Linked DNA regions of Coturnix japonica. The protein of the gene in region 7 interacts with the protein of the main gene of each other region in a pairwise test. Links are inferred from orthologs where the notes say so. Each region holds a gene or a part of one and is shown on either strand. Other genes may lie near its edges. The genes, in order: PARVG, CPNE2, CEP19, OSGIN1, CHAF1A, PGAP6 and REL.

Region 1 (4,016 bases), on a different chromosome or scaffold from region 7:
AAACAATATTAAAGGCAGGCTTTTCTAAAATGGCTAGGAGCAGTGCAGGACAGCAGAAGGCAGGGAATGGAGCTGTGGGAGCAGGGATCTGTATAACCCTCCACACGTCCTACCAAACTGAAGTTCACTGCCACCAGCAATGATCTATGAAGAAGGGTCTGGCAAAGATGTCTCCTAATGTTCTCCTCTGCAGACTCTCTCAGTGTTCATTAAAGGCTCCAGTCAAAGTCCACTACAAACATGTATTTTAACACTGATCTTGGCAAGCCACGATTATTGGTAGGAAGTGGCAATTAAATACTTTTGTATATCGGTCTTGCAAACAAATTAGATACAAAATGCCCAGAAAATGACCAAGGAAAAAGAGTCACAAGGCAATTACTGTCATTACGGCTGCAAAATTGAACACTGTCACTAGAAACGTGGATAATAAACTAAGATACTTAAGAGAAATTGAGTCATTTAGTGCCTGGGAAGCAACTGAACTATCTAAGATGAGGCTGTCTAGATGTGACAAACTAGGAGAAAAGAGGTAATTAGTACAGAGAAACTCAAGTCCAACTTAAATTAGGTTTCTGGCACTTGTTTTGCCTTTGACAGTTTTACTCTAAAGCCCTATGTAATAAACCACAACTTACCAACTCAACTTCACTGCAATATTCAACTTGCACATCCCTTGCACTTCCTTTGGATATTTACACATCAAAATAAGGCATACTGCCTGCCACATCCTTTCATCTGTTTGTCAGAAAGCTACCTTTAATATTTGGAAGCCTGTAGGAAAGGGTCTGAAATTAAGAATTCACACTAGCTAAAGTTAATGCACTCCAAGGACTAGGTCTTGTGTGTCGCACTTGGTCAGAATGGTAAAATGGCCATCCTGGGTGAGACAAAATGTCTCACCCGATATCAGAGATAATTTGGATGCTGCTTGTCCCTTACAGCACCCAAAGTCAGATGCTTAGGGAAAAAGAAAACAAAGCAAGCGTTCACAAGTTACTTCCCTAACACAATCTCACAAGCTACAATACCCTGCTGCTCAGCCTTTCTAAACCAAAACTGGAGTCCTAGTGATTTGGTGCTGTCAGAATATTTAGTTCTCATGAACTTCCCAGCCCGCCCATGAGCTTTCTCCAATGCTACCACATCCTATTTGAATTGCTAGGAAACAGAACTGCACGGGTTTAGGATGGTGTCCGCAATACCCTCTGCATTGTTCTGCATGCCTTTCCTCTAATTCCTATCATCGTTTGCTTTACTGATCACTGCTGAGCATTGAGCTGACACGTGAACAGAACTGTCTATTAAAACTCCAAGATCTTATTCCTAAATACCAACACTGCTCTAAGCCCATCACTTATCCGTAGAATCAGTACTGTGTTCTCCCACTACATGTTTCACTTTGCGTTCACCTACACTGATTTCCAAAAGCCATTTCGGAGGCTAAGAACTGCAGCTCCTTAGCATTTAATAGACTCATTACTCGTTACTAATAATTAGCGCACTTCAGCAGTCTCTTGTGACAAGTCTCATTGCTGTGAGGCTTGATCTTAGGTAGTGGCCTTTCAAAAGATAACCTGCTGCAGAAACAGCGTGAAACAGAACAAAATGGGATCTGGACTCCTCCTTGGGTTTAATTGCTTAATGAGAAATTGGAAAGGATGGGAGATTTGATTCTCACCTGCAAGTTTCCACACTTCCCATAGCGCTCAAGTTCACTATCCAGAGCTGTTACTGACAGGCTATTTTTCTCTGGCCTCCTGCATGAATTATTTATCACTATTAGGAGGAGAGATCATTCTAGGAGACAACTGTTTGAATATTGATTGCAGTGGCATTTCACAGTGGAATTTCTTAATAAAATTGAGCTTTAACATTGTAAACTATTCAAACGAAATGGTTTTATGCGGTCCTTCGTTCTCTTTTACTGAGATGTCACAGCTTGTTCACTTTAAAAGCTACAGCTGTTGTATTCCTATTGCACCACCTGCCGTGGTGCCGATGAGTGAATTTTTTGCTAGGCCGAGAACTGGACTACATTGCATCATGCTGCAATGTAACGACAACAGATAAACCAACTCATTCTTTTAGTGAGCCAGTTCAGCTCACCTCACTTCTCACAGTCTTCTCACAGTCTGACATCATCCCTGATGTGTGATATAAAGCACTGGTGAGAGGACCGCGGTCCTCAACATCAGAATCGACGGTTGGATATACACAAGCACTCACCGACGTTACCAAATTGTTTCAATTGCTGAACTTCCTGTCCCAACAAGACAAAAGCCCTGCTCTGCATCAGCACAAGCACATTTCCTACGAACAGTTTTCTAAACAGATCACACAAACAGGGAACAAAGCCCAGTTTTGATGGCTGGTGATACTACTTCTGCCTTCAAAAAAGCAGAATAAATCAAGAGAGAGAACATGCGCCATGCACCCAGCTTAAAACTTACTTTTGCTTCCTTGCTCAGTATCAGGCTTTTCAAAGAGCAATATTTTGTCATTGGCATCAGAAGAGACACTGTCTCAGCAAGAACAATCCATGCGAAAGCATGAAGCTCTACAGCTGAAGAAAACAACACCAAAACTCCCCCTGAAAGAGTCCCAAACTTACAATTCAATTCTTCAGTATTTCTCCTGAAGCTCTTCAGACAGCAGCGCGATGCAGTTGCACAGGGGCTCGGTTCCACTGCACAGGGCAGCACAAAGCACGCACACTGTGCGTGGTGGAAGCTGCACCACTCCGCACTGACAGTACTTGAAAACGAAAGCAGAGTCATAAGCGGAACTTCATTGTCTGCGTGCTCAGTTCCTGCTGGTGACTGCAATAAACAGAAATACAAATGCAGGAAGCATGCATCCTCACAACTCCTGAAATGCCAGAAAGTATTAAGCAAGGTACTGTCCTTGTTTCATAGCACCACATCGTTTGCTAGTCCACATCGCTGCATGTTTTCTTTGCCTTTAATAAAAGATCCAGTGACAGATAAAATCATCATGGTACATTACACCTCTTACTCATGGTCCTTAAAGCTTTTTATAAGGCAGATCAGCACTTTTCTTCCTACCTGGCAGAAGGGGGACCTAGGCAGAAGGAAATGAGCTCATTTGTCCTTGGACAGCCAGTTAGTCACACCAGTGCCCCAGACGCTCATCTGGTACAAGCGTAACCTCTGCTAAGCAGATCTGATACTCTGCCTCTCCTTTTCTACCAGTGATTAAAGAGGAAAAGCTCTCCACAGCCATTGCTTTCCCTGGACATCTTTTCCAGGTATCACTTGCAGTTGTTAAGTCTTCCAGAATGAAAAAGCAATAGCTCTGCAGTCCTCAATGAAATCCCAGAACAAGACAGGAGACAGCCACGCTAATTAAGCCAGTCTGTTTTAACACTATTAAGGGACTGACTTCTGTGTTTAGCTCCACACCATAGATGAGAACTAATAGTTCTGCATGAGCTAAATAGGATGAAAGAAAGTGAGATGAAAACAGACTCCCAGGTGTTACGGATTCTTAATAACGGAGAATTTACCTCCAAAACTTCAGTCTCCAAACCTTTCTAGAGTGGTGAGGTCCTGGAACAGGCTGCCCAGGGAGGTTGTGGATGCCCCGTCCTTGGAGGTGTTCAAGGCCAGGTTGGACGGGGCCCTGGGCAACCTGATCTAGTAAAGGTGTGTGTTTGGTGGCCCTGCCAGGCAGGGGGGTTGGAGCTTCATGATCCTTGAGGTCCCTTCCAACCCGGAATCATTCTGTGATTCTGTGTGATTCTGTCTAGTGGTCGAAGTACAAACTTAGCATATTCTCTAAGCAGAAAAAAGCACATTTCATCAGCTCAGAAAAGACTAAGAGTACGTTCTATGCTATGTAGGAGTGCATGCCACAGCCCAGAAATGTAGGGAGTAAAATCAAAAAGAAGTACTAATGGAAATGCTGTACTTCTGAAATATAGTTTCTTATCAGCAGGCAGAGGGAGTAGGAACAACTAAAACATGGGAAATTGATCTGTAGTTATTAGGTCA
Region 2 (3,500 bases), on a different chromosome or scaffold from region 7:
TTAGATAGCAACAGCTAGAAGCTAAACCATTTCATTATGGTTTTCTTCTAATTATTATTTTCTGGCTGTGTGACATAGGACCAAGGGTGGAGACAGAAGGATGGATGGGGCTGTGCTTTTAAGCTGTAACCCATAGATTTGGAAGGGCTTGCTGGTGGGAATGGAAGAAGAGCACAGCTGGTTCCAGCAAGTCATTGCGTGGGGCTCTGCAATCTGTGGGGAAAGCTCACAGGGCTCTTGGGCAGCAGTGGTGGCACTGACAGCATCGTGGCCATCTCTGAATGTGGGATCTTTCTTTTACCACCGTGTATACTGAATGTGAATTGACTAACATGAGCAATGATCAGTTGCTTATGAGTCTGCATTTGATCACATGACTTTATTTTTTGTGGTCTTTTTTTTTCTCCTAGATTGTCTCCAGCAAGAAAATAACGAGAACTCTCCTTCTGGGGAATGGCAAGCCAGCTGGGAAAGGGATGATAACGGTACAGTAACTCATTTACCTTACCCATGGAGTGTGTGAATGCAGATAATAAACTGCAGGTGATGCAGAACACCAGCAGGGCTGGGGTTGTTGTCCCTTTTTTTCCCTCGCCTCCCATTTTCCTTCCCACCTTTGGTCTCTTTGGAGGACATTATATTGCCCAGTCCCTGTCTGGTGACTTCAGCCTGTGCTTTTGTCTCTGAGCGCTAAAATAAGAAATGCTAAATCTAGAGAAGAACGCAGTAAATATGAGCTGCTGGTTGTTATCTCGTACGTGACGCTTGTTCAGACCTCCCTGGAGCAGCCAAAGGTAAAAGGGCCGATTCCTTTGCTGACAGTCAGTGGTTTTGTTTGTAGGAAGAGGATGAGAGTTCTGCCGTAGCAACAGGTCTCATAGCAACAGCCTCTGCTCCTGCTGCAGACCCCTTCGGGCAGTGGCTTTCCTGCTGTGGATCTATTTAGTGATTTCTATTTATTTAATTATTTTAAAGAAGAGACTAAATTTAGGCTCGTTTTCCCCCCATGCCGCATCTCCTGTCCTTTTCGTTCACTTCTCTATTCCAGTTTGTTTGTGTTAGAGAAGCGAAGGTATAGAAGAAAAGGCCAACGTGGAGTTAAACTGCAGGCAGGTCTAAAAGCACCAGATGGGTCTAAAACCATTTTAAAAGACCAAGATCTGCCTGCTGCAAGGCCATCTCCCATGGCTGTTTGCTCTAGAGACTGGGAAGATGCTGTTAGCTTTTCTCTCTTAATTGCTGCAGTTAATCTTTAAAGGCAGAAGGGGAAGCTGCATTGAAGCCTGCAGTGGGCACCTGATGCCGTGTGCCTTCCCCAGGAGTGGGCTCTTGCTGCCCCATACCTGCTACTGGAGCAGGAAGAACTGGAGCAGTTGAAAAGTTTCCAGTCAAGTTCAAAGGTTTCCAGCTTTAGAGGAGGAAGCTTCTGATCTGTCACTAATGCATCATTAGAACTAAGGGGGCTGGGATGTCTGCTTCTTTGCTTTGTGTGCTGGCAGCGTTGGGTCCTCCAAGCCTGACACATTGCTGTGCGCTGGGGTTAATGCTGCCAGCACCAACTGAGACAATCTTCTTTGTGCTCACAGAATGTAGGGTTGGGAGCCAAACCCTGCTATCCTCACCCACGCTCTGCTTTCCTCACCCATGGTCCCTTCAGCTTTATCTAGGTCCATTTTCTTAACTGCAACACACAAATGTCATTGGGCTGAGTGCAACAGAAATGCCTCGGCTGGAGTACTGGGACTGAGTGAGAGTCCTGAGGTTTGAAAGGTGTGGAAAATCCCAAAGCTCATCACTGTAGGAATGAATCTTGAGGTCTTTACAAAGCACTGGGGTTGTTAGTTTCCATAGGGAGATGTCACCATGGTTTGTATGTGCAGCCCAGCTCTACCTTGGCCTCTGAAGAGCCCAAAATTGCAGGGACTCCAGGTTGGGTCTGCTGTGGTCTGCAAAGGTAATTTGTCTCCCTGCAGCACCTGTTCCTTATACCACTTTGACCATCGTGCATGTCCACCTGTGGCTGTGTGGAGGAGTGATGCTGTGGGAAAGGGAAGAACAGGAGACGGGAGGTGGGGAGCAGATGCTTGGGTAGGACACAGCCTGGAGAAGAAATGCAAGTGATTCAGAAAGCAACTGCTAACAGAAATGAATAAAAGCTGGGGGGGGGGTTGTAATAAACATTTGCTTTCTTAAAATACCAGGAGATTCATTAGACGGTGTTCCAGACAAAACCAGCCCACTGGTCTTTGGCAGTCAAAGCCATTTTGGAGGGTGTGTGAGAAAAATCTTTGAAACTGAAGTAATGTGGGCTGCGTTTGTGCCTGCTACAGCCATCAGGAGCTGCAGTGGTCTTTGTCCTTGGGCCATCTTGATGGGTGATGGTGGATGAACATGGCCCCACTCTGGGCAGCAGTGATGCACAGAACTGGCTGCATGAGTCTGGCTCTGGTGGTTGTTTTGCTGGCAGCTGTGTGACCCTGGGCAAAATCATTTTAACTCTCCAGTAGTGGGATATTGTGTATGTTAGGTCTTGAGAAACTTGAGAATTACTTCTGTAGGAGTTGCACAGCTCCAAGGTGTGCATCCTCATGTTGCAGGATTGCCCTCCTTAGTTCAGTGTTCACTGACTTTTCGTATGAAATATGAACACAGCTTCCCCTTGTCTTTCAGATAGCTGCTCAAGAGCTGTCGGACAACAGGGTGATTACTCTGAGTATGGCTGGCAGGAAACTGGATAAAAAGGTGAGTTGTGATGTGTCAGGAGGATGTAAATGTTAAACTTCTGTCTCTTGTAGGCTAGGGAATCTAAGGAGATCTCTGCTTGTGAGTACAGTAGTGTCATAAAGCTGTCTCTATGTAGAAAGCTTGGAGGTCTGGAGTCAGGTCCTGGCTGTGTCACTCCCTGCTGGTTAAGCCCGTGTCTCAGCTTCCCTGCTGTCAGAATGTGGAATTCTTCATAATGCAGGACTTGTGTACTATCATGTCTTAAAAACAATGTTCTGAGCCAGATTTATTACTTCAGTGGCTGCTGTTTGGAAATGTCTCCTGACTGGGCTGACAGTTTTGATACCCCTCAATTCAGTATTTCAGAAGTGCTGAGTGTTCTTGGCTTGTTGCCTCTAGCCCTCATTGAAACTGAATGAGAGTTTGTTTATATATCAAACAGGAGGGCCCATCTTTCCAGACGAAGAAGCACCAACCTCGTGGATATAGATAATGCCAGTTTTTGCTTTGGGTATGACATGCAGTATAACCATAAGCCTTTCTGAACAAAGCAATCTGACCTTATTTACCAGGCAACCAGAACGATTCCTCTTAAACCAGTTCTGTTGCTAAGCAATCGATGTGTTCTGTTTTTTTTCTTTCCCTTCCTAGTGTCTCCAGAGCTTGCATTGTTGGTAGGATGGCCCTTGGTTTTCAAGTCACAGTAAAGCGTGCAGCCAGGCAAACTTGCTTTGTTCAGTCCCGTTGTCCAGGCCAGATGGTTTATCCAAGTGCTT
Region 3 (3,007 bases), on a different chromosome or scaffold from region 7:
GAAGAGGGGCAGATCTATTTGGATCTGTCAGTGAAGCTTCAGCCTTAGGGTAAACCACTAAGAACAGAAGGACTGGGATGCTGACCCCGTCCCACACTGCACTGGTGGTGGCACCACTGCTGGCAGTGCCCGCTGTGCCAGTGAGACAGAACCTCAGACCTCAGGGATGTACAACAACTGGCCGAAAGACACAAGAATAAATTATATTTCTGGTAATGGTGTTTTATCTGTTTATCTCTCCTGGTTACCACATGCTTTGTGGTCAATGGGGTGAGCTCTGAGCATGGAGCTGCAGAAACAGAGCCAGGCACAGCTGTGGAAAGATCTGGAGAAGGCCATCACATCCACCCTTTCACGTGGCCATTTTTTGTCCCTATTTCAGATAGAAATAGCCAAAAGCCATCTACTATCTACACAGGTACCTGCTGGGGGATCACTCAGACTATTTCAGCCACTCTTCTGCTTGTGAGCATCCCCAAAGTGCTTCCAAAACTGACTTGTTTTTGAAATGCTCAGGTTTTTTAATGAAGGATTTAACCTGTGCAACCTGAAATGGCAAACGTGGCCTCTACTGAGGGAAGGTGAGAGTGATATCCTCAATGAGACACTGATGTATCCAAACGTATATTTCACATTCCAACCGAGGTGGTGATAAACACCACAGGCACCCAATAAAGTGTATTATTGCTTCCAAGATGTAAATACTTAACATTTCATTTTCAGATAAAGCTGAAGAGAAATCACAGGAAAACATGGTGAGGTTTTCAGCCAGATGGAAACAAAGGAAAGATAAATTAGTTAAATTGGGGCACTCCTACGTTGGAAATGAGTAAAACAGCCACCAAGTTCAGCTGTCTCGTTTCAGCTTTCTCAGTTCAGCTCCTTACACTGCATATAAACCTGAAACTGCTGGAATATCTTAGGCCTCAGATTCTCCATGGCCAATTTCAAGCCACACCAACAGGAGATGCTGCAGTGGAGGGAGCAGGATGGCACTGTTCTCTCCTAGGAATATGGGATCTGTTTCTGCCCATCCAGCTCCTCTCGGTCTGCAATCAGACTTCTTCACACGACTCCCCATCCCATCCACAGGACTCCAGCTGCTCATCCTGGGGAAACTCCACCTCGATGTCATAGACAAAGTCCGGGTCGTCCTTTTTCTTCCTGTTCTTTTCGAAGAGCTCGTCCATGATGCGTTTCCTTTTGGCTAACTCCTCATCGTCCAGTTTGTTCATGTCCTCCTCGGGGTCAATGTTCTGCTCCTGCTCAATCTTCCCCAGGCTCTCAGCCAGGCTCTCTCCCCTCAGGTGGCCTCTCAGCAGAACGTGCAGCTTCTTTAGCTGACACAGCGACACTCCTTCCAGGTAGGCTTTGTGCCGAGGGTTATTCTTCAGCTGCTCAGCAGCGACGCCGCAATCTAAACACAAAACCACCGTGAGGAGTTACAAGGGGCAGGCGGATCTCTTTAAGTAGAGATATGGAGTTGAGATGGAGAGGAACCGGGGGAGAACCAACACACCTGAGGACTGGGAGAAGTTCCTGACGGGGATGATGCGCCGCCGGGTCTTGTCGTTGTCCCTGTAGATGAGGATGACGGATGGCGGCTGGAAGCGGACGCCGCACTGCAGCGCCGTGCGGCTCATCCTCCTTCGGGCTGCCCGCTCCAAGTGCCTGAGGAACGCGACTCAAAATGGCCGCCCGAACCATCCGAGTGAATCGGGCAGCGCCGCGGGCAGCCCCGGCCGTGAGGTGAGGCGGGGGTTCCAAGATGGCGGCCGTGCGGTGGCGGTGGGCGTTAAGCGCGTTGCTCTGTGCCTTCCGTAAGTATAACGCCGTCGTGCCGTCAGCAGCCGCGCTGTGCTCCCGGTGCCGCTGCTCACTCGGTCTGTGCCGTTTCAGACGCTCAGGCCGCCTGCGTGAGGAGCGCCGTGTCTCAGGAGCTGCTGAAGGAGGGATTGCACAGGTGAGGCCGGGTTTGCCTTCACACGGAGTCATAGAACGGGCTGGGTTGAAAAGTACCACAGTGATCATCAGTTCCGACCCCTGCTGTGTGCGGGGTCACCACCACCAGACCGGGCTGCACAGAGCCACATCCAGCCTGGGAGCCATCGTTTCATAGACATCTTAAACTGCGTTTCACTGCTTTCCACTCTGTTGAAAGTTTCCCTCTGACAATTCTGGATTTAGTAGCTGTAAGAAAGGTAGATATCCATGAGAACTCAAATTTAAAGTCAGTATGCTTAAACAGGATCTTACTGAATGTATCAGTTGTCGTAATGAACTGTATTGGAACAAAGTGGCATGGTTCCAAATGTATAGGCATTTTCTGGTGATGTTGATTCTCAATGTTTTAGCTAAAATTGGAATATAGGTTGGTTTAGGAAATAAATGAGCATCATAAGGATCTGTTTTCATATCTTTCAAAGACATTAAAGAAGCATAGAACCTTTTTACAATTATTATTAAGTTGTCTTGGACAAAATTAGTTCTGGAAGCCCCTTATTTCTGAGGTTCAGATATGTGAGTAGTTGGAAAATGTACTGTAGACAACAATCCTCAACACAGATGTAGATAATTTCTATTTGTTTCTTAATTATTTCTTTCAAGCTGAGTGATGGATCAAAAGTAGTTTTTTATAGTGAGTATACTGTTGTAATAGCGTACCACAGCAGGATCATATCAGTTATAGGTACCTTCACTGTTCTGCCTGTCTCCTGGGAAACTTAATGTGACCTGATATAGGTGTTCCTGCTCTGGCAGGAGGATTGGACTAGATGATCTTTCAAGGTCCCTTCCAATCCCTGACATTCTGTGATTCTTTTCACATGCAGTGCGTGTGTCTGTGATTCTTTTCTCACATATTTAGGATCTATTGCTTGTTCTGTGTGGGCTGCAGTCGCACTGTGCTTTCTGGGGTTGTCAGCAGCACAGAGCAGCTGGTAAAGCCGAGCTTCACTCTTGGGATGTGCTACACCCATCTCTGAGCATTTGACAGTTTGACACTTGG
Region 4 (4,020 bases), on a different chromosome or scaffold from region 7:
GTTCTTGTTACTTTGCAAAGCTTCTTTGGAATGCAATTTTTAACTTTCTGAAATAGCTGTACTTAATATTTACAGGCTGAATTGAACAGTTTAAGTGTCAGGCATATTCATGCACTAATGGCAGCGATTCTGCTAAATTATATACAAAAAAGAAAATTCCTTTTAGAAAGAAAGCATGTTCCTTTGTGTGATTTTTAATTGTAACCTGGGCAACAAAAGAAAATCTAGGAATTAAGGCTTGTGTTACAGCTTTCCATATTGAAGACATCAAACACAAACAAGTTCACAAGTGCCACATGGCTCGTTTTTGTTGCTGAGAGATTTATATAAATATGTTTTCTGGCTTTCTTTCCATGGTCTCAAGCAGAAAAGCTTTTATGCAGCTCAAGAAGTAAAACTCAAAAGAAAGGTCAGCAGGAAAGGCTGCTTTCCCAGGAAGCCTGCATGCAAACTGTTTTAACATTGCAGTGTTGAAGTAGACACATTTAACATTTGACTCTCACAGGCTCAGCATCTTTTGGAGTACTTTGGAGATCACGTTTGTTACCTTAGTGCTGCTTAGAATCCTTTGTGTCTTTTCCAGGCAAGCTCAGGGTTCAGGCCATCCACCAGCTGTGTATGTACTCCATCTCTTTCAAATATGCATAAATAGCAGCCACTTCTGATGGAAACCCAGGAGTGACCTTGTATGAACTCTTCTTGTATACACTTTTTTGCAGGTGAGAGAATAAGCGCAGATTGAGATCTGACCAGGGTGTGGAATGCAATATGAGCTCTCTGTGCTTCTCTGCTGTGTTTACTAAAGGTCACCTCCCTCCTGATATACAAGGTGAGAGCATGTTTCCTCCCAAACATTAGCCCTTCAATTTTACTGAGGTTCCTTTGTGAGCAAGTAGTAGTCAGAAAGTCCCAAGGCTTTCCACTCAGCTTTTTTATCAGGCACATGGGTGACTGCACTGGTCTGAAAAACAAACTCTGCAATGCTTCTGCACCATCATATAAGTTCACACTTTTGCCCAATTTCTTTGTGTTGTCTCACACTGTGGCACAAGTCCAGATGAGGAAGCTGAGCCAGAGCTAGCTTGAACTTGAATCTGAGGTCATCAGAGATAGTCCTGTGAAAGCATCGGCTCAGTGCTTGCTAGCGGCAAAGAAAATCCAGTGCTAGGAAAGGATGGGAGCCAAACCAAAAGGCTGCTGCATAACCCTATGGCTCATCTGTGCATGAAGAACTCTGTGATGCGCTCTTTCTCTCATGCCAGGACAAGAAAAATGGGAGAGGTCTAGAGGAGACAAGCCAGGTTGACAGAAGGTATGGAACAGTTTATGTCTTGGGAATAAGTCAGAAAACAGAGTGGAATATAAAAGAAGTTTATAGAGATGACTGGTGCAGAAAGGATCGGTTTTATAAATCTCCCATCCAATACAAAGACTACAGGCTGTGTGAAATTGCCAGAATCCAGATGAAAACAACTTGAATGAAGGGGCTGGCAAGTGAACAAACCTTATCAGGTTTCAGCCAGTTGTCCCATTTGCAAATATTTGGAGGCAAGGGAAGGTACAAGATATGCATCATGTGCTTATACTGTTCTTTACCTTCAGTGACTGTCAGTTAATGCCCAGTGCTGAGTGTGGGATGCCAATCTGATTGGACCTTCCAGTCAGTCTGGCTTCAGTACAATTTCCAGGCCTAGGGTTGCCAGCTGAAGAAAGAAGGGGAGTTTTTGGAACAGATCTGAAGAAAGGTCACAAAGATCCTCAGAGGGCTGGAGCACATCTATAAAGACAGGTTGAAGTAGATGGGCTTGTTCATCCTGGAGAAAAGGCAACTCAGGAAAGACTTCACTGTGTTCTTCCAGTGCTTAAAGGCAGATTATAAACCAGAAGGGGAGCAATTTTTTACATGTTCTGAGGGGGAAAAGGACACAAGGGGAAATGGCTTTAAACTAAATGAGAAGAAACTCTTTACTCAGAGGGTAGTGAGGTGCTGACACGGGCTACTCAGACACTGTAAATGCCCCATCCCTGGAGGTGCCCTAAGCCAGGCTGGATGGGGCCCTGGGCAGACTGAGCTGGTGGAAGGCAACCAGCCCACGGCAGGGAGTTGGAGCTCGATGATCTTTAATGTCCCTTCCAACCTAAGCCATTCTATGATTCTATTAACATATCCATTGCAGCTCCGGATGGATCCTCAGTGATGTTTGTTAAACAAAAAATGGGGATTTGTAAAAATAATAGAAGATGATGCAGTTGCAATCAGCAGCTCACATTTGAGAAATATCACAGCAACATACATCAAGAGAACTTATGCATAGAAGCTTCAAAAATGTATAATGTTTCCCAAATCTTCATCAAAGCTGTGAATTTCATAAAGTTCAAGGGATTGACCAATCCAGCAGTTCCTTAAAGTATGGGTGCTGATTAGGGAGATATTATTTACTTTTCTGAAGTAAGGTGGCCTAGGGCAGAGTAAAATGCTAAAAATATTCTTTTGATTTGCAAAATGAAATAAAGACATGGATGGAATTAAAAGGAAGAATCTGAAGATGAAAAACGGCTAAGTGATTTAACAGCTTTGGTTGGATGAGGTTGGATGAGGGCCACTCATTTAAATGAATTAAACAGCCATCTTCAATGTGAAAATCAACTCATCTGTGATATGTGTCAAACCATGACCACATCTGAAATGAAACTTAAATTTTGGTAAGTTCAAGTTATGGCAAATAATTTAATGCACTTCAATACATTGGCCAAATATAGTCCTGTGAAAAATGAAAAATATGCAGCTGTGCTTTCCATTTTGATAAAGGAATTTGAGAATAGGTTTCAAGATTTAAAAAAAAATCATCAATTTTTTGTATATTTGCAACTCCATTTTCAGTCAACATAAATACATTACCTGCAAATTTTCAAATGAAATGTATAGAGTTGCAATCAGACATTCAACTCAAAGAAAAATCTGATCATGTCTCTCTACTAGACTTCCATAAGACCTATCTTACCAGGGAGAAATATGCCTTGTTTCACAGTTCTGACTTATTCACACCATTGCTTTGGGGCAGTGTGTATGTTTGTAACAACTGCTTTCGAGGATGAAGCACAGAAAGAAATAGATCAATATCGAGCACCTTGGGAACGCACCAAGAACATTAACAAAAACATCATCAAATATCCCATTAGTTTTGTGTTCATGTTGCCTTCTTTTTTTATGTTTTAATTTAAAGGGGAAAAAAAGAGAAGAAAAAAAAAGTGCTATTACTTGTGTTAACTGTACTGTATATATATTTTATGTGCAGGCCAACACAACAATTCATTCAGTGTGACCCAGGTATTTCAAAGGTTGGATATCCATACAAGCTCTTTGGTAGAGGTTTTACTCAATGATTCAAATTTAGCATTTTCAATCCAGATAAGTACTGACTTCTGAGAATCAGAACTACATCCTTCTTCTCATGCCTGCAGTTTCTCTGTTGACAAGCAGAAAAATTGGGGCATGCTGCAGCCAGTCTGACAGGAGTGAATCATAAGTATGTTCTTTCTGTGTGATCATTGTTGATAAGGGTGTAGGACTAATCTGGAGTCTCTCATTACTACTCTAGCAATAGATATTTGGTTTATAAAGGCAAGAGCTGCAAAAAGGACACCAAGAGCAAAAAAATTGCATGTGAAGCAGTAACAGTAACTTTTAGTGCAGTAGGTTTGGAGGAAGAGCCAGGCGAACACTGTTATTGACATTCCTAAGAAAATGATTTGAATGAGATTTCAGGGGATCATGGTTCTTATTCTGCTCAATGCTGAATATATGTGTGGATAACTCACACCACAGTAGCTCTGAATTATTGCTTTTTGTGGACCTATGCTCAGTTTTGAGCTCTGCTGTGAGTGAAAATGGACAACTAAGAGATATAAAAGGAATTACACAGACCAACAGGCATTTCTGACACAAACACACTAATTACTGAATGGCTTTATTCTTGTGCAGTAATGCTGCCTTTTTCCTGCAAATTCACTGTGCCAATT
Region 5 (4,042 bases), on a different chromosome or scaffold from region 7:
CAGTGCAGACCAGCACAGACATCCCACCCCAGCAAACAGAATGAACAAGGTCAACCTCACCTTGTACCAGGCAAAACCAATCACTTGTTGACATGATTACATTACATTCAAAGTCAAGAGCTCTCTTCTGTTCTGCTGTACCAGGAGAATGGTACAGCCTAATTCAGTTTGTATGTGCATTTCAAAGTGATATCACAAGTTTTAACAGCCTGAAGTCAGAACCAGGTAGTTCTCTGTACACCTGGGAACATCTGCCTCGTTTTCCCTTCCAATAATGCAGTTAAATGCAAGCAAGGACAGCAGTCAGAGAGCTCAGTTGAACTTAGGGCTGTACAGGTATCACAACTGAGTGTCGTGTACCAGAGCATCCTCCCTTTACACCTCCACCAATCTGCTCCCCAGGAAGACTGAGCACTTTCCAACCACTCAAGTCACCATTTCAGCCATCTGTTGGCTTTAAAGCCTCCCTTTCAGCACGACACCAAAAGTCACAAAGTTCAGAGGTCTTTTGTTACAGAGCAGGCAGTGACCAGAAGCTACAATATATCCCAAGCCCCAGCACACACAGGGCTGTCAGATCAGAGGCATCCCATCCCCTCCAGCCCTCAGCAACATCTCATTGTCACAGGAGCACACAGTGACTTATCCCTTAAGCACCCCCATGCTGGACAGGGCACACAAAATGGCTGACAGCACAAGCCATACACACTTAATTCCTATTGAGACTTATTTAGCTCGTTCTCTTTCTTCAGAGGGAAAACTGCACTTGTGTTAATGCCCTGTAGTTTCACTTAAAGTGCTTTTAACAGCCTGGATTCAAGATCTCAGAGCTGCTGCTGGAAACAAGATGGCCCACAAAAAAACCCTCAGCAACAGAGAGAACAGAATGGAGGTTATGAACCACTATCTATTGTACAGAACTTGTTTTGAGCTCTGTCCCTATCCCAATTAGTAAGGTGTACATCCCAAGGCATACACTTCATGATCACTATAAGAACCTGTAACAGGAGCTTAGAGCTGCACTCATGCTATTCAAACATAGCAACTCAAAACCAAGACTTAAGCCATACAGTTTAAAGGATTCAAGAGGGTAATCATTCGCTCACATTATTAATAGATGGACAACACATTCCATCTGGTCTCACAATCTTTGCAACTGATTTATCCTTTTCATGACAAACAACCCGTCTACCATGTAATAAGTCTTAAACAACCAAGAAAAGAGACCAACCTTCCTAACAGGCGTTGAGACAGCTAAAGGACTAGTGTTTCTCTTGGTTTCTGCAACAGGCTGCGCCTCAGGGGAGCTCACAGAGAGAGAGCTCAACGAGGAATTAGTAAGTACAGAGTCTCCTTCATGGGACAATTCTACGGTCTCATTTTCTGATGTGACACTTCCATCCAGAGAAGTGACTTGGGGAGATTTGGCAGCCATAATATCTTCAAGAAGCACTACGGGCATCTTCCCCTCAAATATGATGTCCTTCAGTTCACCCTGATTAACCTTCGTGTTTTCCAAGTTGTTACACTCTGTCAACTCAGAACAAGACTGGATTCCATCTACCAGATCTTCACCTTTATTTGCAATAGCTTCGCACCGCACGTCAGTCTCCATTGATTCATCAGTTTGGTTGTTCTGAGTGGAATTCAGGCAATCCAGCTCGTTCATATCTTTTCCTATCACACCATTAGTCAGAGTTGCAGTAGATGCTTTTGAATCCAAATTAACATGGTCTACATCATCACCGAGTCTTTGATGGGATTCATCTACCGAGTCAATAATGACGATGATTTCATCTGTGTTATCTTTTGTGCCCTTCTGTATAAAATAGTCTAACGGACCCTTTCCGTTAACGAGTTTGGGAACAAAATTCACATCTGAATTGAGCTGGCAGTCATTCTCCATATTGTCCATTGATGCATGCGACGTGTCTGTGGAGGAATCCTTACTTTGCCCCAAGCCACCCTTACAACTCTTTCCTTTCTTGCCTTCTGCTTCTGCATCATCTTTCTCCTTTGGTACGGGATTCAGGCGCTTGAAAGGCAACCGAGCTGCAACAAACAACATTTGGCTGTTTAAGTCACAGCAAACAAATCACTGGGGCAGGGGAAATAGAAGTTAATGTATGGCTGTTAAGGTAGTTGGCTGTTAAGCTGTAGAATGAAACCAAACTACAGCTATAGACAGCTCATTACAGCCAATATTCCCAGACCTGGAGTGTTTTAAAGGCATTAGGGCTTTATAGGAGGTGACATAGGCTCCCCCACGGCCTTACCTTGCACGAGTCTCCTCGGAGGAACAACCGCTTTGTCTCTGCACTCCATGGCTACAAAAGAGAAACAAAAAGAGCCCAATGAATGGCCGGGCCACGCGAGCAACACCCAGAGAGCACAACCAGCTCCAGGCCGAGCCTGAGGGCTGAATAAAGCCAAGAGATGAGGAAACAGCCCCGCTCAGGGCCTGGACCTCAACGGGGCCTAGCACCTCAACGGGGCCTAGCACCCCAACGGGGCCTAGCACCCCAACGGGGCCTAGCACCCCAACGGGGCCTACACTCTCAGGCCTCCTTTGTTACCTCAGGAAGGCCTCACACCCCTGGAGGCCCCATGATGACCCCCAGGCCTTGCCCTACCTGCCATGTTGAGGCGCCACGGCTCCAGCTGTAGCCGAACCGAGCGGTTCCGGCCCGTTCTGACCCGCTCCGTCCGGTTCCGGCCCGGCGCCTCCCGCTCGTATTTGGCGGGAGCCGGGACGACCCCGCGCCTCTCCGCGCTGATAGGCTGATAACACCCACGTGACTCGCTCATCCGCCCGCCCTACCTCCGCGAGGCCTGGCCCCGCCCCCACACCCGCATTGGTCAGAGCGATGAGGAGCGCTGATTGGTAGGCGCAGTTGTCACTCTCGCTCGCTGGATGCGCTGATTGGAGAAAATAGAAGGCAGGAGGAGCATAAAAGCTCCCTCACCCTTAGGCCTGAGGTCGTGCTGCTGTGGGGCAGCAGTGATGGCGGAGCAGCTCTATGCAGATCAAAGCAGTATTTCTCTAGTAACGTAGGGCTGGGGCCTCTCAGCGCACTAACTCAATGAGTGGGCCGAGACAGTGCGCAAAATGGCGGCCGTGTGGCCAACGAGAGGCCTAGTTAGTAGGAAGAACTAGTATAAAGGCTGCTGGGATTGTAGGCCGCTCTCCCTAGCGCCCGCTCCATTCACCTCCCACCCATAGACAGCAACGGCACCGCGGTGGCGCTCCGCCAGGCCGCTAGGGGGCGCTATGCTCTGCCGCTAGGGGGCGCTCCGCCAGGCCGCCAGGGGGCGCTGTGCTGTCTCTTAGGGGCGGGGCGGGCCGTGCCGCTTCCTGGCGGCGGCGACTGGGCGGAAACGGCGGCGGCGGCAGCGGCCGAACGGGCAGCGGGTGGGCTCCGTGTTTGCCGAGTGTCACCGCCCCCACCCGGTCCTGCAGGCAGCATGTCGGTGGCGGGGCTGAAGAAGCAGTTCTACAAAGCCAGCCAGGTGAGGCACCGCGCCCTCCGTGATATCCCTCCGCTCTCGGTGTTACCGGGGGTTCGTTATCCCCCTCCGTATCGCCGTTCTCCGTCCGGTATCCCCGTGTTAACAAGCCATTGCTCCCCTTGTGTCCTTATGTTCTGCCTTGGGACACCCCCGGTGCCCCCTCCCGGTCTGTGCTGCTTGCCCATCCCGTTACCGGCGCCCATCCCTTGGCCAAAGCCTCACACAGCTCCCGTTGGTCGCTATGGGCTCCATTGCCATCCCCGATATGGGAACTGATCCCACACTGTTGTGGCAGTGGGTCACAGCACTCCTGGTTCAACCCCTCCATTGCCATTAGGGACCCTCCATTTCCTCTATGATGGATACGAGTCACCCCTGGTTCAACCCCTCCATTGCCATTATGTACCCTCTATCTCTTCTATGATGGATATGAGGCACCCCTGGTTCAGCCCCTCTGTTGCCATTAGGTGCCCTCCATCTCTTCTATGATGGATATAAGGCACTGTTGGAGCTCTGTATGCTATCAGTGTTG
Region 6 (4,256 bases), on a different chromosome or scaffold from region 7:
AGCATTACCAGAACTTAAAACATTGTCTGTGTTTCGCTGCCATCACAAAAAGTTTAATGCCACAGACAATATCTTAGAAAAACTTTCTGCTCAGCTCCTTCTGGTCATCAGATCCAGCCAGGTTTCCACTGTGGCTGTACCAGTAGCTACCCTTTTCAATGAAGAAACAGCACTTTTCTGTCAGTCGATGTTGTCCACTAAGGATTGATCTGATTCTCAATACAGAATGGACATGCAGACACGTCTTCCTACCACACAGCAGCCACCTGAGATGATCTGAATGTGCTTAGGGACACAGAGAACATAAGAAATGTCCCTGCTGGACCTGATGGTTGGTTCATCTCACCCAGCGCTGTGTTCAGCAATAGGAGATGGCACTGGGGAGCACACAAGCCTCGCCATTTTAGCTTGTGCTCCTCCAACACCTGCATCAGCAGTTGATGATTTCATAGAGTAAGTTCCTGCATGTTGCCTTCAGCATCTCTTTATTGACCTGTTGTTCATGAATTTACTCACCCGTTTATAAACCTGCTGACCCCATTTGTTTCTACAGCCTCCCATGGCAGCAGGTTCCAGAAGTTCATTCTCCCTCCCTGCCTCACATGAAGTCCCTTTTATCCATTTCAGACCAATCTATTGGACTCATTGATGGCCTTTAATTCCAGTACTGCAGAATCCAGTGAGCATCAGATCCATATCCCCTTATGACTGTGTAAAGTAGGCCATTTCTGTGCCCTCTCCTGACAAACCCAGTCTTTCCAGACCATCATCATCCTGCAGCTCCCCATGCCCATCTCATTTGCCATCTCAATTGATCTGAGCTCTTTCTCTGCATGCACTGTGTCCATTTTAGACACAGATTTAGAGGCCAGAACTGCACAGCCATCCTAAGAACCAACTGGTGCCTGGCCAACCAAAGGTGGAGCTCCCAGAGCAAAGCAAGAAAGGCAAACCTGCCGTGAATCTGATGCATGGGAAAAGCCCTGAGACACTGCTGGATTGCATCACCCACACACTACAATGGAAAACCTTTCCTCACTCTCCCTCAATGAAGGAATAAAGTCTGATATTGCCATCTTGAAGTCTACAGCTCTCAGATTTTTTGACCCACGTCCCTGAGATGCAGTTCTTCACTGTCATCTTCCTTCCCAGATCCCTTATCACTGTGATTTCACTTAGGCAACGAGCTGCAAGGCAGACACAACACAGCCAGGCTGGAGCTGGAGCTGGATGGAGGTTTCCCACCCAGCTCTGCCTTTTTAACTGCTTGTACCAGAACCAGACAAACAGGGCTATGGGAGCAGTGTCACCCCGAGGGTCGTCCCCACGATGAGGGCCGCCCCCTGCTCCCTGACGGCCACCGAGACCCCCCTGGGCCCGGCTCAGCTCCGTGTGGTAGCCGGTTGTCCCGGGGGTGGAGCGGGGCGGAGCGGCGGAAGCGGGAGGTGGCGGAGACGGCGGCGATGATGATGGCGCTGCGGGGCGGGCGGCGGGCGGCGATGCCGGGATAGAGCGGGGCGGCCATGGCACGGGGAGCCGGCCCGGTGCTACCGCTGCTGCTACCGATACTGCAGCTCCTGGTGCTGCCCGAGGGCCGAGGAAACCGAACCGGGGCCGGTAAGTGCGGGCAGAGGGGGGGGGCGGCCGTGATGGAGCCTCGCATCCCCTTGCGGCTGCATCGTGGCGAAGTTTATTGTGGGCAATGAGTGGGCAATGGATGGACCGAAGGGATGCAGCACATCTCTATGGAGGCAGGTTTGTTATGTCCGGAGAAGAGAAGGCTCTGGGCAGACCTCAGTGTTTCCTCCCAGTGTTTGAAGGGAGCTTGTAAGCAAGAGATGGACCGGATTTTTACGTGGCTTGATAGTGCTCGGAGAAGGGGGAATGGCTTTAAACTGAAAGAGAAGAGACTTAGGTAAGATTTTAGGAAGGATTTATTTACTCAGAGTCATTGAGACCTTGGAACTGCTGTCCAGTGAGCTGTGGGTGCCCCATACTGGGATGCATAGAGGGTCAGTCATTGGGGTCCTGCACAGTGTGAGGGGCAGCCAGCCCACAGCATAGGGGTTGGAACTGAATGGTCCTTAAGGTCCTCTCCATCCCAAGCCATCCTATGACTCTTAAGGTTTTCCCTCGTTGTGTAGCGGTGGTGGTTGGGGCGGATGGGCAGGAGTGGGCTCTGAATGGGCAGGAAGCAGTTGCAATGGTTTCGAAGGTGCAAGGGCTGATCCTTGTGGCCGTGAGCCTGAAGCTTCTGCTGTGTGCATGGCAGGGGCTCTGCTGTGCTATCCAAGGGCTGTACCTTGTCCTGAGAAGCATGTTTGCTCTCTTCGCCCTGATGTGGAGGTAGGTGTATGTAACTGTGGTTATCAGCTGCTGAGAGTGGTTCCCATGCTTCAGATAGCCACAGACTGCTCAGGGAGCTGCTGGCGCCAGGGTGAGATGTCACTTTTGCCCCAGGCCAACCCTACTCTGGCATCCTGCTGGGTGGGTTCCCAGCCCTCAGGTACCTCCCCTGTGTTCAAGGTGTGATATTGGGTTCTTCTTGGCGTCATCCTGCCAATTCAGGTGAATTCCTCATTGGATCTGAGAACTGTTAAGGATCAGATCCTCCTGAGAGGAGTGAGGAGTCTTGGGATACATCAAGATGTGGCTTTGACATGGGTTACATTATAAATAGCACACAAAAAGCCTGCCACAGTCATCTCTTGTCTTGAGTCAGACTGGTCGCTGTCTGTGTAGCTGTACTCAGGGTTCTCAGTCTTTATGTCCCTTTGGAATTGCTGCTTGACCTAAGCTCTGCACAGGGTTGAGCCTGCTGGCTTGTGAAGTGCTGGCTCTTATGAAGCCCCAGAGATATTTGCATCTGCTCTGAAACCGGGACCTCGTCCTTCTCATGGGGAGCTCTGAAACCAGCGGTCAACATGTCTAGAAGCAGAATGATATAATCTTTGGATGAACAAATCCAAGCTGTCGCAGGTGGTTCTTTATTCAGACATTCAAAGAATGTGTCTCCTCTGTGCATCTGTGATTCTCCTCATGTTTTGTTTGTCTTCTTCAAATTTTTCCTGCTTTTTGCGTCCTATGTTTGAAACTTTTAGAAGGAGGCTCTTGTTCAGCATCAAATTATGTTGTTTCCATCCTTTCCCACAGGGATTTCACAACTGCCCTGTTCAGTTCAAAGAGCTCTGAGCATTGCTGGATGGTCAGGTCTGACTCCCAAGGTGTTGCTGTGCTTCTGAAGAATGTTCAGAACAGGGTAGAAACAGGCACATACAGAGCACAGCAATATTCAATGCAAATAGGGAGCAGGAGCACATGCCTCACTTGCACATGACCCGTCTTTCTGGCTTTTCTTTACTAATAATCTATTATATCTTCATGTAGCATTTCCTTCTCAAACCAGGTGAAGTGGGAATCAACTCATCTTGTTTCCTGGATGCCCAGCATAGCAAAACCTGGGAGTGCAGCTGTGGCCCTGGTAGGTTCTCTCCAAGCAGAGCTGTGTACTTGGACTTTGTCCACACTGCTGTACTGCAGGCTCATGTGCTCACATTGTCAGCTGTCACACAGCTCTGTGCCATTCCCTTGGGCTGTAACTGCAGCTCACCTCAGTCAATATAACTGACCCATCCTTAATGTGACCCATGCTTGACTTCTTAATTCTGACAGCCCTCTGCTCCTCCCTACAACACCTCATAAGTTATTCTTCTTCTTCTGTGGCCCCTTGAAGGTGAGGAGCTGCTGATGGGTGCTGTTGGCCATGCAGTTTGGCTGGAGAGCTGAAGTGGGTTTTTGCTGGGTGCTGGTGGAACAGTTCATCTCTGATCAGTCTGTCCAGTGTGAGCTTTGGGCAGGACCATGGCTGTCCAGGCTTTACTACTCTGTCTTTGTCTACCCTTGGCTTGTGCTGGCACCCAAATGTCACCATGGACATCCAGCAATGAATACGCTGTGTGTGTGCAGAGTGCCACTGGGTGCAAAGAAGCTGCTGATTAAAGGCTTCTCTTTTCTGTAGTTCCTATGCGTGAAATAAGACTGGGTTTGTAGGAGAGCACAGCTGATTTCCTTCCTCCACTCATGACTGTGGGAGCCCGTACTGCACTGCCGTCACATCTGTGTTTGCTTGAAGGGTCCCTTCAATGGTATTTGCTCTTTACTGTCCCAAAGAGTGACCTAACCCTGACCTGAGGACAGTAGCTGGAGTTTGTTCTGCCCTGTGCTGGGGTACAACCAATCCAGGTCCCTTCATTTGG
Region 7 (3,500 bases):
TAAGTGTGGATCAGAGTCATCTGAGCTGCTGGGAGCAAATTAACATTAAACTTTTGATAATACCTTGTGCAAGCTGCAATATAAAGAACACACTCCCCCCACCCCACCCCAATCAGACTGTATCAAGAGGCAGTTGGGATATGACATGAGTTATTAACTATTTCAGCAGTGTTGAGGCTCAGAAACCTCATTTTAACTACCTAGTAACTTGTCCAAACGTGAAGATATTCTGAAGTGTAGTTTTAACCACCAAGTCACCATCAGGTGTATTTTGGCCCCCTTCTCCAACAGCCAGCAGCTGAGCACCTGAAGGGAGAAACCACCAGAGCCTACACCAGGAATAGGCTTGTCTGCAGCATCCTTGAGAGCAAATGCTGTGGAGTCAAGTTATTAGAGCTTCAGCGTTAGTTTGAAGGAGGAAGATTAAGAGAATGACAGGAAGTGAACGTCACACATGCTGTGTCAGTACAGACTCACAGGCTTTCTGGTGTAAGCTGCATATGTTCAGTGTTCTGCCCCCTGTGTTCCCAGTGGTGCTGTGCTGCTGTGGGAACTTCACTCTGCATATCTGGTAATAGAGACGACCAGCAGCCTACAGAGTTCATGCTGACAGCTTCCCTGAGTCCTGGCATTTCTGGGACTACATTCAAAGCTGCCGCTTAGTTTTGAACTGACTGGATTTGTCTTAAGACTGCTGATGGCAGGCTGGTAAAGCAGAAAGGTGATTTGATTTCTTTTTACTATAGAAACTGTAAGAAATGGAGATATTCAAAACACAAGACTAAAAATGCCAGTGGAAAGTATTCTGAGCTCAGAGCATTGGTTGTTTCATGCTATCAAAAGGTGAAAGGAAGAAATCACTTGAGTGGGTGATGTGGAATCCCACTCATGGCAGGGTGGAGACCAACCCGGTGATAAAAGCTAAAGGTCAGAGCATTGCAGTCTAATCAGTACAACGTGATCCACACGCTTCTTATCGCAAGTGCATTTCACTTTTTTATTCTTGCAAGAGGCCTTTGAAAGGGCTGGGGAGGGAGTGAACTTCAGAGGCTGTGATCTGCTGACTTGGTGTGCATTCACTTTAGGCAGTTACAGTCTGACTGAGCTGAACTGCTGTGTTGAACAACTTTGGAAGAGAACTACTCCCAGTGATTTTAATTACTAGTGCTTTACTGAAGTGAGATCAAATCAGAGTCTCATTTAGCTACCGCTGAATGTTAGCACAATAGTTTAATGCTGGACCTTAAAGAAAAGCATTGATTTCAGATAGTGTTGATTCTGCCAGTTAGCCATGAAGCTAGGATTGGATGCATTAAATGTTTGATGATGATATCCTGGGCCCTGTGTTCTGAAATTAAAATAAATGAACTCATGATCTGCTGAGCTGGAGTTATTTATTGTGTTTTACACTCAAATTAATTTGCGAGGAAACAGTTTGTTTCCAGCAAGGGTTTGCTTGTTGGATTAGAGAAGTATATCATAAAGACACCACTGATTGCTGTACCCAGGTTCAAAAGTGATACTGGTTTTGCTGGAAAGTGTAGATAGTCTGTATTGTGTAAGCTTCATTCTTGTCCCAAAAACTGAATTATTTTCCATCTCAGTTTCTAGAGGAAAATAATGGTTATTGCATAGCAGAAATCTCTCACTTGCTGGAAATTTTTAGCTAGATCCTAGGACTCCTTTGTACTGAAGGATTTCTCTTTGCCAGGGGCATTCCTTTATTAAATATCATGCACAAGTAAGAGATGTGTCCAGCGAATGACTGCAAATACATGAAACTGGTCTGGGAGGCAAGGTGAGGAAACTAGTAAGCAAGGAAGACAAGGAACAAGTTTACGATTAGGAAGAGAGGGAGAAGGCAAAGGTGGCGGTATCCTGGTTGGTGTGACTGTCTGCTTTGTGCTGTGTGGTCACCTTCCTGCTTCCAGCCATAGCTGCTCGGGGGCAGCTGAGCTGAGACTGTTTGACTCACCCATGGGATGGTCTGGTCAGAGAAAAGCCTTCGTAGAAATATGATGGTGGGGAGAAGACTGACTTCTTAGAAGGGAAGTTTTTGTTTTTTGCTTCAGATTTAGCCTTGTGTGACCAAGGAAAAGTGTTAAGGTCCTTTTTTTTTTGTGGTGTTTTTTGTATACAAGGAATTTATTCATGCATAGCACTAGAGAATGATGTGGATGCACTTTCTTTGCTTTGGCAACAAACACAAATTTGGCAGTTTGTTTTTTACTGGTGGAGACAACACCAGACTGTTAAAGAATTGCTGTTGTTTTTGAAGACTATTTCTCAGTCTTGTATTTCCTTTTGCTATTTAGTGCCTGAAGAACAGCTGCACAACATCGATGAGTACGATCTCAACGTTGTCCGCCTCTGTTTCCAAGCTTTCCTCCCTGATGAACACGGCAACTACACGTTAGCTCTTCCTCCTTTGATTTCCAACCCAATCTATGACAACAGTAAGTAATGACTCAGTCAAATGTGCTCCCCCCTCGCACCAGGACAGATTCTGAGGCTTTGAGCTTTTTGCCAGCCCTCTGGGGCACTTTGCTGGTTTGAGATTGTTTGATACACTCTTAACACACATAGCAAGATAGTCGGCACGCCTCTTAGATGATTTCAGAGTGACGTGCTGGTAGGCTGGAGTAGAATTGTTTGTTCCTGCCACAAGCCAACTCATTGGTGCTTTATTCACCCTTGTTTACATACACAGTGATGGCTGCAAGGATGAGCTTGCTTCTGGCATGCCAAACAATTAAAATGGTAATGAGATAGATAGCTGCCATAAGATGGATATGTTGTCTGTTCCTACTGTTGAGAAGTCCTGTCTTTGACTCGTTAGGGCTCTCTGAAGGGCAGTTCTCAAGAGATACTTGCAGAATTTCAATGATGTGCATATAACCATTATCATAGAATCATAGAATAGCTTGGGTTGGAAGGAACCCCAAGGATCATTGAGCTCCAACGCCCCCCTGCCAGAGGCAGGGCTACCAACCTCTGTATCTAAGGGCTGCCCAGGGCCCCATCCAACCTGGCCTTGAACACCCTCAGAGGTGGATGGAGCATCCACAGCCTCTCTGGACAGCTGTTCCAGAAGCTCACCACTCTCATAGTGAAGAACTTTCCCCTGACATCCAACCTAAATCTTTTCTCCTTCAGTGTAAAACCATTTACCCTTGTACTGTTATTATCTACCCTTTCAAAAAGTTTACTCCCCTCCTGTTTATAGGTTCCCTTCAGGTACTGAAAGGCTGCAATGAGGTCACCCCACAGCCTTCTTTTCTCCAGGCTGAACAAGCCCAGCTCCCTCAGCCTGTCCTCATAGGGGAGGTGCTCCAGCCCTCTAAATATCTCTGTGGCACTCCTCTGGACCCACTCCAACAGCTCTCTCTGTCTTTCTTGTACTGAGGGCTCCAGACCTGCACACAATACTCCAGATGGGGCCTCACAAGAGCAGAGTAGAGAGGGACAATCACCTCCCTATCCCTGCTGGCCACCCCTCT

Evidence for each region.
Region 1: the proteins of REL (region 7) and PARVG interact in binary tests that used the Homo sapiens proteins (3 or more experiments, as listed by UniProt). The two-hybrid records come from large-scale screens. The link is inferred for Coturnix japonica from reciprocal best matches to the Homo sapiens genes REL and PARVG.
Region 2: the proteins of REL (region 7) and CPNE2 interact in binary tests that used the Homo sapiens proteins (3 or more experiments, as listed by UniProt). The two-hybrid records come from large-scale screens. The link is inferred for Coturnix japonica from reciprocal best matches to the Homo sapiens genes REL and CPNE2.
Region 3: the proteins of REL (region 7) and CEP19 interact in binary tests that used the Homo sapiens proteins (3 or more experiments, as listed by UniProt). The two-hybrid records come from large-scale screens. The link is inferred for Coturnix japonica from reciprocal best matches to the Homo sapiens genes REL and CEP19.
Region 4: the proteins of REL (region 7) and OSGIN1 interact in binary tests that used the Homo sapiens proteins (3 or more experiments, as listed by UniProt). The two-hybrid records come from large-scale screens. The link is inferred for Coturnix japonica from reciprocal best matches to the Homo sapiens genes REL and OSGIN1.
Region 5: the proteins of REL (region 7) and CHAF1A interact in binary tests that used the Homo sapiens proteins (3 or more experiments, as listed by UniProt). The two-hybrid records come from large-scale screens. The link is inferred for Coturnix japonica from reciprocal best matches to the Homo sapiens genes REL and CHAF1A.
Region 6: the proteins of REL (region 7) and PGAP6 interact in binary tests that used the Homo sapiens proteins (3 or more experiments, as listed by UniProt). The two-hybrid records come from large-scale screens. The link is inferred for Coturnix japonica from reciprocal best matches to the Homo sapiens genes REL and PGAP6.

What each region holds. Positions count from the first base shown.
Region 1 is NC_029516.1:63,627,635-63,631,650, reverse strand, and holds the start of PARVG (gamma-parvin), read right to left. Parts: upstream 2,801-4,016; 5' UTR 2,615-2,800; intron 1-2,614. UniProt on the Homo sapiens protein: Plays a role with ILK in promoting the cell adhesion and spreading of leukocytes.
Region 2 is NC_029526.1:1,800,084-1,803,583, reverse strand, and holds part of CPNE2 (copine-2), read left to right. Parts: intron 1-410; coding exon 411-485; intron 486-2,670; coding exon 2,671-2,742; intron 2,743-3,500.
Region 3 is NC_029524.1:3,567,003-3,570,009, reverse strand, and holds CEP19 (centrosomal protein of 19 kDa), read right to left. Parts: upstream 1,668-3,007; 5' UTR 1,644-1,667; coding exon 1,520-1,643; intron 1,418-1,519; coding exon 1,056-1,417; 3' UTR 501-1,055; downstream 1-500. Other genes in the region: PIGX (phosphatidylinositol-glycan biosynthesis class X protein), read left to right, coding at 1,769-1,820, 1,900-1,963. UniProt on the Homo sapiens protein: Required for ciliation. Recruits the RABL2B GTPase to the ciliary base to initiate ciliation.
Region 4 is NC_029526.1:89,129-93,148, forward strand, and holds the start of OSGIN1 (oxidative stress-induced growth inhibitor 1), read left to right. Parts: upstream 1-1,220; 5' UTR 1,221-1,312; intron 1,313-4,020. UniProt on the Homo sapiens protein: Monooxygenase catalytic activity. Involved in regulation of cytokinesis; promotes RHOA activity, probably acting locally at the midbody in late cytokinesis.
Region 5 is NC_029543.1:1,626,062-1,630,103, reverse strand, and holds the start of CHAF1A (chromatin assembly factor 1 subunit A), read right to left. Parts: upstream 2,801-4,042; 5' UTR 2,641-2,800; coding exon 2,634-2,640; intron 2,328-2,633; coding exon 2,277-2,327; intron 2,053-2,276; coding exon 1,232-2,052; intron 1-1,231. UniProt on the Homo sapiens protein: Acts as a component of the histone chaperone complex chromatin assembly factor 1 (CAF-1), which assembles histone octamers onto DNA during replication and repair.
Region 6 is NC_029529.1:10,721,681-10,725,936, forward strand, and holds the start of PGAP6 (post-GPI attachment to proteins factor 6), read left to right. Parts: upstream 1-1,456; 5' UTR 1,457-1,523; coding exon 1,524-1,617; intron 1,618-4,256. UniProt on the Homo sapiens protein: Involved in the lipid remodeling steps of GPI-anchor maturation. Lipid remodeling steps consist in the generation of 2 saturated fatty chains at the sn-2 position of GPI-anchor proteins (GPI-AP).
Region 7 is NC_029518.1:5,487,017-5,490,516, reverse strand, and holds part of REL (proto-oncogene c-Rel), read left to right. Parts: intron 1-2,315; coding exon 2,316-2,456; intron 2,457-3,500. UniProt on the Homo sapiens protein: Proto-oncogene that may play a role in differentiation and lymphopoiesis.